Drosophila melanogaster: one gene and its partner. The protein of the gene in region 1 purifies or fractionates together with the protein of each later gene. This does not show direct contact. Each region holds a gene or a part of one and is shown in the gene's direction. Other genes may lie near its edges.

What was found.
Region 2: the proteins of ergic53 (region 1) and yellow-f purify together in Drosophila melanogaster (affinity purification with mass spectrometry, with the first as the bait; one large-scale study listed by BioGRID). This does not show direct contact.

What each region holds. Positions count from the first base shown.
Region 1 is NT_037436.4:8,533,437-8,538,534, forward strand, and holds ergic53 (ergic53), read left to right. Parts: upstream 1-1,540; 5' UTR 1,541-1,569; coding exon 1,570-1,750; intron 1,751-1,937; coding exon 1,938-2,656; intron 2,657-2,731; coding exon 2,732-3,207; intron 3,208-3,454; coding exon 3,455-3,580; intron 3,581-3,645; coding exon 3,646-3,682; 3' UTR 3,683-4,577; downstream 4,578-5,098.
Region 2 is NT_033777.3:12,990,927-12,995,107, reverse strand, and holds yellow-f (yellow-f), read left to right. Parts: upstream 1-1,906; 5' UTR 1,907-1,962; coding exon 1,963-2,125; intron 2,126-2,312; coding exon 2,313-2,642; intron 2,643-2,708; coding exon 2,709-3,364; intron 3,365-3,425; coding exon 3,426-3,566; 3' UTR 3,567-3,659; downstream 3,660-4,181. Other genes in the region: yellow-f2, read left to right, coding at 3-174, 291-680, 789-1,444, 1,512-1,652. UniProt on the Drosophila melanogaster protein: Tautomerization of L-dopachrome with decarboxylation to give 5,6-dihydroxyindole (DHI). Also catalyzes the tautomerization of the methyl ester of L-dopachrome and dopamine chrome. May play a role in melanization reactions during late pupal and adult stages.

The sequences.
Region 1 (5,098 bases):
TCCATTTCACACCCAATTTAATGTAAGATGTCTTGAAATTGGCTAGGTTATAAAGTGATCTTGAATTTAGATGAAAACATTTGAAAAGCATGCCGTGATGCTGTCAAATGAGAAAAGGAAGTAACAAAAAATGGATTGGATCTGGATCCCACAATCCTCTAATTACTGATCTTATACACGAAAGAGAACCTAAAAATTACGATATATTATATATAAATATACATATATATTGTAGGATATGTATACATACATATACTTTTTGTATTTTGTAGTCTAGAGTGCGCACGTTTACTTTATGCGAGTTTAACATTCTAAACCCAAAATAAAGGTATGTCCACCGCTGTTATGATTTTCTACAGTACTTAACGACTTGAACGCATATTTCCTCTTTCGGGAAATGTACACAAAACCCATTTAAGCTTAATTTATTATCGTATTTGTAATAAATTGAAAAGATTATTATATTGCACCATCATGCATAATTTAGATTTTCGCTACACTGTAGCGCCTTCGTTTAATTATAATTTTGTAATAAATCAAGCTAAAACAAAGACTTTGATTTTGTTTTAATCGATTTGAGTTTTTCTTTTGATCGCGCACAGAACTAACACGAAAGTGATTGTGATTCAAAATAAGTAACTAACATTTGTAAAATGGCGAAACTTGCGGCACGATCGCCCCTAATGACTATCCCCCACACACCGATCTGCACACAAAGCTATCACTTGTGTAAACTGAGCAACTAACAATATTTTATGAAGCCCACACTATGTGCTACCGAGGCATTAAAACCTATAATAATTCTAGCTGTAAGCTCTACGAAAACTACAAACGGTAGGAAATCAGAAACAAAGAATAAAGATGTAAACATATATACACACACTGTGCTAACTGTGCTAAAGGAATTTTGGAGATATGGATGTAATACTACTTTGGTGATATCACGCAAAAGGCAATTGAAACAACTAACGAAATAATTTTACAATAACGTATTGATAAACATGTATCTATGTAAGCACATGCGAATGGCGCGTATTTTGCTATATTTATGTTTATTTTCTAACGGGACGTAAACACTTTAAATTTTCAAAATAAATGTTTTTCCACCTCAACATCATAAAGTGATAACAAGATCTTTTGAATTTGGTGGGCATTTGCGATATCGATATAAAATCTACCGAAATCGATAGCGATTGTATTGTCGCTGCCTGAATATTTTTTAGATCACTTGGTTCTTGTTTCTTAGAATGCATGGAAAAACTTTTATCTTATAGAATTTTAAATTGTGATCTAAGCTGAAGTTAATTGTTATAGGATGGCTGGTTTTATTTAAGTTCAACATTTATATACGAAGGATGGCCTAAATAAATGTTCTAATCAATTTATATTATATTACCTTAATTGTTAATGGTAGACAATACATAAAATAATATTTGATTTTAAATTATACAATGCTTTTAGAACATCCAGTGCGATACCACCGCCTATCGGTGCCGGCTGGTTATCGATATCATCAGTTTGCACCATCGTCGCCCACCCACCACTAGTTGTCAACATATAATTGCAAAGATGCGGCCCACATTCCTGGCCATTTTGTGCTTCCTGGCGTGGAATCCCAGCTCCGAGGCGACCGGCAATCTGAGTCCTGGAGCCGTGGGCGTGCACCGTCGCTTCGAGTACAAGTACTCGTTCAAGCCGCCGTATTTGGCACAGAAAGACGGCACCGTGCCGTTTTGGGAGTACGGGGGAAGTGAGTACGAGTGGAAGACGCAGCTCCACGTCAGTTGTTTTGGCCCACTCGCTGCTGGTCTGCGGCCATGGGTGCGAGCGAGATGGCGCGAGGCGGCCAAGTGTACACGCAGGCACTTTGTTTGGATGTCGTTTTGACCACGGTTTCGGGTGTTTCTATAGCCACAACTTGTTGCTCCTCATTTCAGATGCCATCGCCAGTTCGGAAAGTGTGCGCGTGGCGCCATCGCTGCGCTCACAGAAGGGTGCCATCTGGACAAAGTCACAGACGAACTTCGACTGGTGGGACGTGGAGATCGTGTTCCGGGTGACGGGACGTGGCAGGATCGGAGCCGATGGATTGGCCTTCTGGTACACCACGGAAAAGGGTGACTACAATGGGCCTGTGTTCGGATCCTCGGACCGCTGGAATGGTCTGGCCATCATGTTCGATTCCTTCGATAATGACAACAAGCACAACAATCCTTACATCAGTGCCGTGCTCAATGATGGCACCAAGCTGTATGACCATGCCGAAGATGGAACCACTCAGCTCCTGAGCGGTTGCCTCAGGGATTTCCGTAACAAGCCCTTCCCTACACGGGCGCGAATCGAGTACTACAACAACGTGCTTACCGTCATGATCCACAACGGAATGTCCAACAACAACGATGACTACGAGCTGTGTCTGAGAGCGGATGGCGTCAATCTGCCCAAGAACGGCTACTTTGGCATTTCCGCCGCCACGGGCGGTCTGGCCGATGACCACGATGTGTTCCATTTCCTGACCACGTCGTTGCATGCCGCTGGACAAGTTCAGGAGCAGCCCAAGGTGGAAAACCAGGAGAAGCTTACGCAAGAGTACAAGGAATACCAAGATAAACTGGAGAAACAGAAGCAGGAGTACAAGAAGGACCATCCCGACGAGGTAATTGCCACGCAGCCAGCTGATAAAGATGTCTTATCGCTAGTTTTGATAATCAACTTTCGTATAATCCCACAGCACAAAGACGAGGAGGACTGGGAGGAGTTCTACGAGTCGGAGAACCAGCGTGAGCTGCGTCAGATCTGGCAGGGTCAGAGCCAAATTGCCGATCACCTACGCGAACTTTCCCGCAAAGTGGATGAGATTATTGGCCGCCAGGAGACCACGCTGTCGCTGGTCTCACGTAATGCTGGACAGGCTCTGCCTCCGCCCGCCGCCGGCGGAGTGCCACAGCAACAGCTGCCCGTTGGCGCAGTCAGCAGGAGCGATGTAGATCTTCTGCTCACTAATCAGAACATGCTGCTCAGTTCCATCCGCGAGATTCGTCAACTGGTTGGCGATATCAATGTGCGCACTGATAACATTCAAACGAATCAGAAGCATGCGCCCACAGCACAAATCCAATCCACCGGCTATGATGTACAAACGCTCATCGCCGAGATGCGCGATGGCATGAATCAGGTCAAGCAGGGCATCACCCACGTGGGCCAAAGGTGAGGAATACGCTCAAAGTCTATTTTAAGTTTCCTAAAGCTGTTGTCATCGAAGTTATTCTGAGCTCGAATTAATTTTAACCTTTTCAGCCATATTTATACTAATTTTTCGTATTCCACATTATGAAATTAGAGTTTTAACAAGTTTGATTCAGAGGAACATGTTTATGAGTTTTAGACTATTATACTTTATTGTCATCTTTTAAGTACCTCCTTGATACTCAATATGCATTCCCTTACCTTGCAGATTGGCAGCGCCACAGGGAGCAGCGCAGGTGGCCAATTGTCCCACGGGCAATTGCGTTGGAGTCACATTGTTCCTAAGCGTAACTGTTGTGCAACTGCTGCTAGTCTTCATCTACAACGTCTTCAAGTGAGTTCATGGAATCTTTAAGCGTGGATTCGAAACTAAACAATCTAACTTATTATTCCTTGCAGAAACCGCAGCGAAGCACAGGCGAAAAAGTTCTATTAGGCGAATTCGCGACTTATTGGGATCGTAACGAATAACAAACACACAAGCATACACCCACAGAAATCACGAGGAAACAGATTCGCACACCTGACTAGGCAGCAACTAAATTTAGTTAAAATGAAAGATTTAAGACTTCAGCGTAGCATGCTCTACCATTATGTGTAACTGTTTGTTTTTTAAATAGAAGTCTGTTTAAGAAGTCAGGTCACGAATACAAACTCAAGTCGTTACTTAATCAAAGCAAGAACAAGAAATTTGATCAATGATGTATGCCTCATGACAATGCCACGCAATACAAAACGAAGAAACCGTCGAAGAAGCCACAAGACAAACTTCCCTTAGTAATAGCCAACAGAAGATGTTTCATATTTGTTTTAGCAAGTCAAGTCGAAAGTTTCACTCCATTCTCAACTCTGCATATCATGTGTGCAGGCATTTATAAGAAGCACAAGAAAATCTATCTAAAAAAAAATAAAAATAAAAATGGCAAAATCTATATAAGTACGAAAATTCCGTAAACGTAGCAAATTTTTGTAATATCTTGTATACTTTAGAGTTGAGATGAATCCATCAGGCTCGGCTCTTGAAACTGAATTGGCAACATAAATCTTTTTTCCCATTTTCATGCGCCAAATGGTCAACAAAGCTAGTTAGCCAGCATTTTTGTTATTACGCCAGAAAGTGAATTAATTTAATAATTATGATGAACTGTCTCACTAAGTTTTTGTTCGGTTCGCATCGTCACTGGTGCGATGTAAGGAAGTTTTCTACTGAATAATCTTAATATACATACTGATAAATTATAAAACAATTGAAGTGAAGTGTGTTTTTATATATGTTGTCCATTCCAGTCTCGATAGAAATGTTTAAAGTGAAAATAAAAATCAATTTATAGAAAAATCTATCTCCAACTGTTCAACTTGATAGTTTTAATCTGCGTCCTCATTTTATTTTTATACTTTTCCGAATGCGATATTATTTTCGCTGATGTCGACAGAGGAAAAAGTTTATTTCTTGAAAAGTCCTCGCAAGCATAAACTAGAATCCCTGTCAGTTGCCCATCCCCATCTTCATCCTCCCATCGATGACAATGCGGCAAAAATGGCGCCACTTGGTCGCCAGAATGCGTGGGGCTGGGGAACGAGTTGGGTTCTGGTGAACTTTGGCCATAAAATGTAACTGCCAATGGTGGCATTGTGGGCAGGTCCTCTGTGGTCTGAGTACCCATTCCATCGCATTGGGGAAAATCCCAGGAAAAGCACAGCCAAAGATAGATGGACAGAAGCCAACGGCAGTCGCGGCCCATGCAATAAATTCTCTACGGGATCGGGGAATGGGTTACACAGTTCTGGTGTGCGGTTGGATGGTAGCTTCGCCTATGTGCTCCGTTTCCTATATACTTTCACTGCGCAGGAG
Region 2 (4,181 bases), on another chromosome or scaffold:
CAATGTTATCGCCCCAATTTTTGATTCTAAGTTTAATCTCAGGGTTACAGCTGCTTTCCTTGGCAGATGCTGATCCCATGATAGAGGTCTTCCGATGGAAGCAGATGGACTTTTACAATCGCGGAGATGGCCATCTAAGCTCGGGCGGAAGGAAAGACAGGCCCAGCTTTTCAGGTTAGTACTCATAATATGATATTACTAGTTCTCATTCAGCAATAGCAATCTCGCGAGCCTTGTTAGATAGATTTATTGGTATTTACTTATGTACTATTTTTTTATTGTTCAACTAGCTCCGGTTGTCTTTCCTGGAAAGTATTCTCGTCGAAAGCGTAAGATTATGACCTCCCGCGATACACCGGTAGTGGTCAGCTCCCGCGCCGACAGCGACGACCCCAACGCCTCCTACATTCCGTACAATAACGTGCCCATGGGAGCCACTCACTTCCGCGGCCGCCTCTTTGTCACGATGCCTCGTCGACGGGTGGGCATCCCATCCACCTTGAATTACATCGATCTGGCCGAGGACGGATCGAATCGCAGCCCCAAGCTGCGGGCCTATCCCAACTTTGCGCTTAATCAGTTCAACGCGAGTGCGGAGAATCTGGTGTCCGTCTACAGAACCTCCGTGGATGCATGCCAGCGTCTCTGGTTTATCGACACGGGAATGCTGGAGTATCCAAGTGAGTTGGCATGTATTGACATGTAATATAAAAGATCAGGATCGATCCGTATTAATCTAATTTGGTGACCAAGAATATAAAAAACTCAATCATGATTCTCATATCCAGATAACCGCCAACAGATCCGCCGTCCCAGCATTTGGGTAGTTGACTTGGCCACGGATCAGGTGCTGAAGCGCTTCGATGTTCCGGAGAGTATAGCTGAGACGGGTCGCGGATTGGCCAGCATCACCGTGGATGTGAAGGCGGGTCAGTGTGGCGATGCCTACGCCTATATTCCGGATCTGGTGTACCGGCGCCTGTACGTCTATCACCTGCGAAACGATAGAATCTGGTCCTTCGAGCACAACTACTTCAACTTCGATCCGCTGTCCGGGGATCTCAGCATTGGCGGCCAGACCTTCCGCTGGGACGATGGCATCTTCTCAATAACTTTGGGGGCCCAGAAACTGGATGGGAGCCGCGATGCCTACTTCCATCCCATGGCCAGTACGAATGAGTTTGTGGTCTCCAACCGGGTTCTGCAGCAGGAATCCAACGCCGCACGTTCCGATCATGGGAACGATTTCCGGGTACTCGGAAGCCGTGGTCCGTCCACCCAGTCTACGATGCACGCTTACGATCCTGGGACTGGGGTGATCTTCTTCGATGAGATCCAGCGCAACGGAGTGGGCTGCTGGAAGACCAGCAAGCCCATCTCGGCGGAAAACTATGGCTCTGTGGATTCCAATGCCGAGGATATGATTTATCCCAGCGACTTGTCGGTAAGCAAATGGTTTTGGATAAAAAAGTTGAAGAAAAAAAGTTATACATCTCATCTTACTATTGCAGATTGACGAGGATGGCACCATTTGGGTCATGTCCAACTCCATGCCCATCTTCATCTACTCCACACTGGACACGAGTATATACAATTTCCGGATTTGGAAGCAGAAGGCTTCACTGGCCAAGAGGGGCACAGTTTGTGAGTGATTCGTGTGGAATTCCTGTTGAATTTGTTACTTAATTAAAAATACATACATAAGTAAGAATGACGAAATTTTCGAATAAATAGTTAGCTTTACAAATATACTCTTCAGATTATCAACAAATCTTAAAAGTTGAATAAAGAGACATGGAAAATAAGAGCTTGGGAATCCCAGTGACTGCTCTTATCACTTTACATTCTGAGCTCATTTTTGAGTCGCAGAGCACGTTTAACTCAGTTGAACCCAAGCTGAGGAGTCAGTCAGTCACAAGTGGGTTTTCAGCCAGGAAAGGCGAACGACCGGAATTTTATAAAATGTTATCGCTGGACGTTCTGCTCCTGTGCGCAATCTCAGGGTTCCAATTGCTAATCTCTGCAGATGGAGATCCCATGATTGAGGTCTTCAAGTGGAAGCAGTTGGACTTTTACAATCGCGGCGATGGCTATAAGGATTTGTGGAACAGGATCTGCATTCCAGGTAACTCCAAAAATATCCAATTGAAATATGTTCAATTTCAAACATCAGCAAATGTCGGTGAATCACTAAGTTTTTCCACAAAACATTATGAAATGGTTGTAATATGAATATTATTTTAATCACCATTTTATCGTCACTTTTATAACGAATAATATGTATATATATCACAATTATTCGTTCGACAAAGATTCGCATTTCTACAACTCCCGCAAGTGCTTAGGCTCCTCATCCTCAGGATCCTTCATCCAATACAACAACGTGCCCCAAGGAGTAACCCACTTTCGAGGACGCCTCTTTGTCACCGTGCCACGGCGACAGCCGGGCATTCCGTCCACCTTAAACTACATCGATCTGGCCAAGGATGGGTGGAGTCAGAGTCCCCATCTACGGGCCTATCCCAACTTGGCGGTGAATCAGTATAATGCGAGCGAGCAGAACCTAGTGTCTGTCTATAGAACCTCAGTGGATGTCTGTGGGCGTCTCTGGTTCGTCGACACCGGAATGCTGGAGTTTCCCAGTGAGTATAATCATTTGCTTTATAGGCAAGGTGATCCAGGTTAAAATAATATTATATAACCATCAGATAATCGCCAGCAGATTCGACATCCTAGCATTTGGGTGATCGATTTGGCTAACGATCGCTTATTGAAACGATTTGAGATTCCGCAGAGCATAGTGGAGATCGGACGTGGACTAGCCAGCATCACAATCGATGTGGGCGCTCGGAGGTGCAACGATGCCTATGCCTACATTCCGGATTTGGTCAATCGCAGACTGCACGTCTATCACCTGCGAAGCGATAGAATTTGGTCCTTCGAGCACAGCTTCTTTAACTTTGATCCCCTTTCTGATAATCTCAACATTGGTGGGCAGACCTTCCGCTGGGACGACGGGATTTTCTCGGCGACCTTGGGATCATATAAGCCCGATGGCAGCAGGGATGTCTTCTTCCATCCTATGGCCAGCACGAATGAGTTTGTGGTTAGCAACAGGGTCTTGCAGCAGGAATTCAATGCAGCACGTTCTGATCATGGAGACGACTTCCATCTTCTGGGAACTCGTGGTCCGTCCACCCAGTCCACAATGCATAAATACGATCCGCGGACCGGGGTGATTTTCTTTGCCGAGGTCCAGAAGAGTGGAGTGGGCTGCTGGAAAACCAGCAAGCCGTTCTCAACGGAAAACCATGGCTCCGTTTATTCCAATTCATCGGAGATGATTTATCCCAGCGATTTGACCGTAAGCTCATCCCTTTCTATTTGTAACACGAAAACGAAGGTTAAGTGCGTTGTTGTTTTAGATCGACGAGGAGGGATACATTTGGGTGATGTCCAACTCCATGCCCATCTTTGTGTACTCCAAGCTGGATGTGGAGAAGTACAATTTCCGAATCTGGAGGCAGTCGACATTGCTGGCCAAGAGGGGAACAGTTTGTGAGTGATTTGCGTGGAATTGCTTTAATGAATTTTTCGCATAAGTAATATGTTTATCGAAATAACACACGGAAACTTATTAATAAAATAAATCAAAAAGCATTTACATATGTATCGTTTAAAATTGCCTAAATTTGAGTACTCATTTTTATCACATCTTATATGTTACGACAGATGCGTATGTCTTTTCGCACGAAACAAATGAAAACATGAAAGAAAACAACATCAATGAACAAAATCAGAGGCACTCCAATATTGCATAAGGATACTAAGTTGCACAGTTGTGTGTGTAAGGGTTACGCGTGTATATGTTAACCTAAAATACTTGAATTTCATGTTGTAAATTTCTCATAACTTTTCCGCATCTAAACAAATTCGAGGTGTAAATTTGGTAGCCCTTCAAAGTGTCAGCTATACATATGGTGTATATAGATCTATATATATATATATATATATATCTATTCAATTTGTATATATATGTACGAGTTTATATAAAGTTTTGCAAAAAATATATAGGTTGCTTTTGTATATGTTCCTCAACGCTACACCTAAGTCCTTTAAGTAGTTTCGATCATAGTTAATATATGTAGTGTGTAGTACGTAATATAGCGAAATGTTTCTAC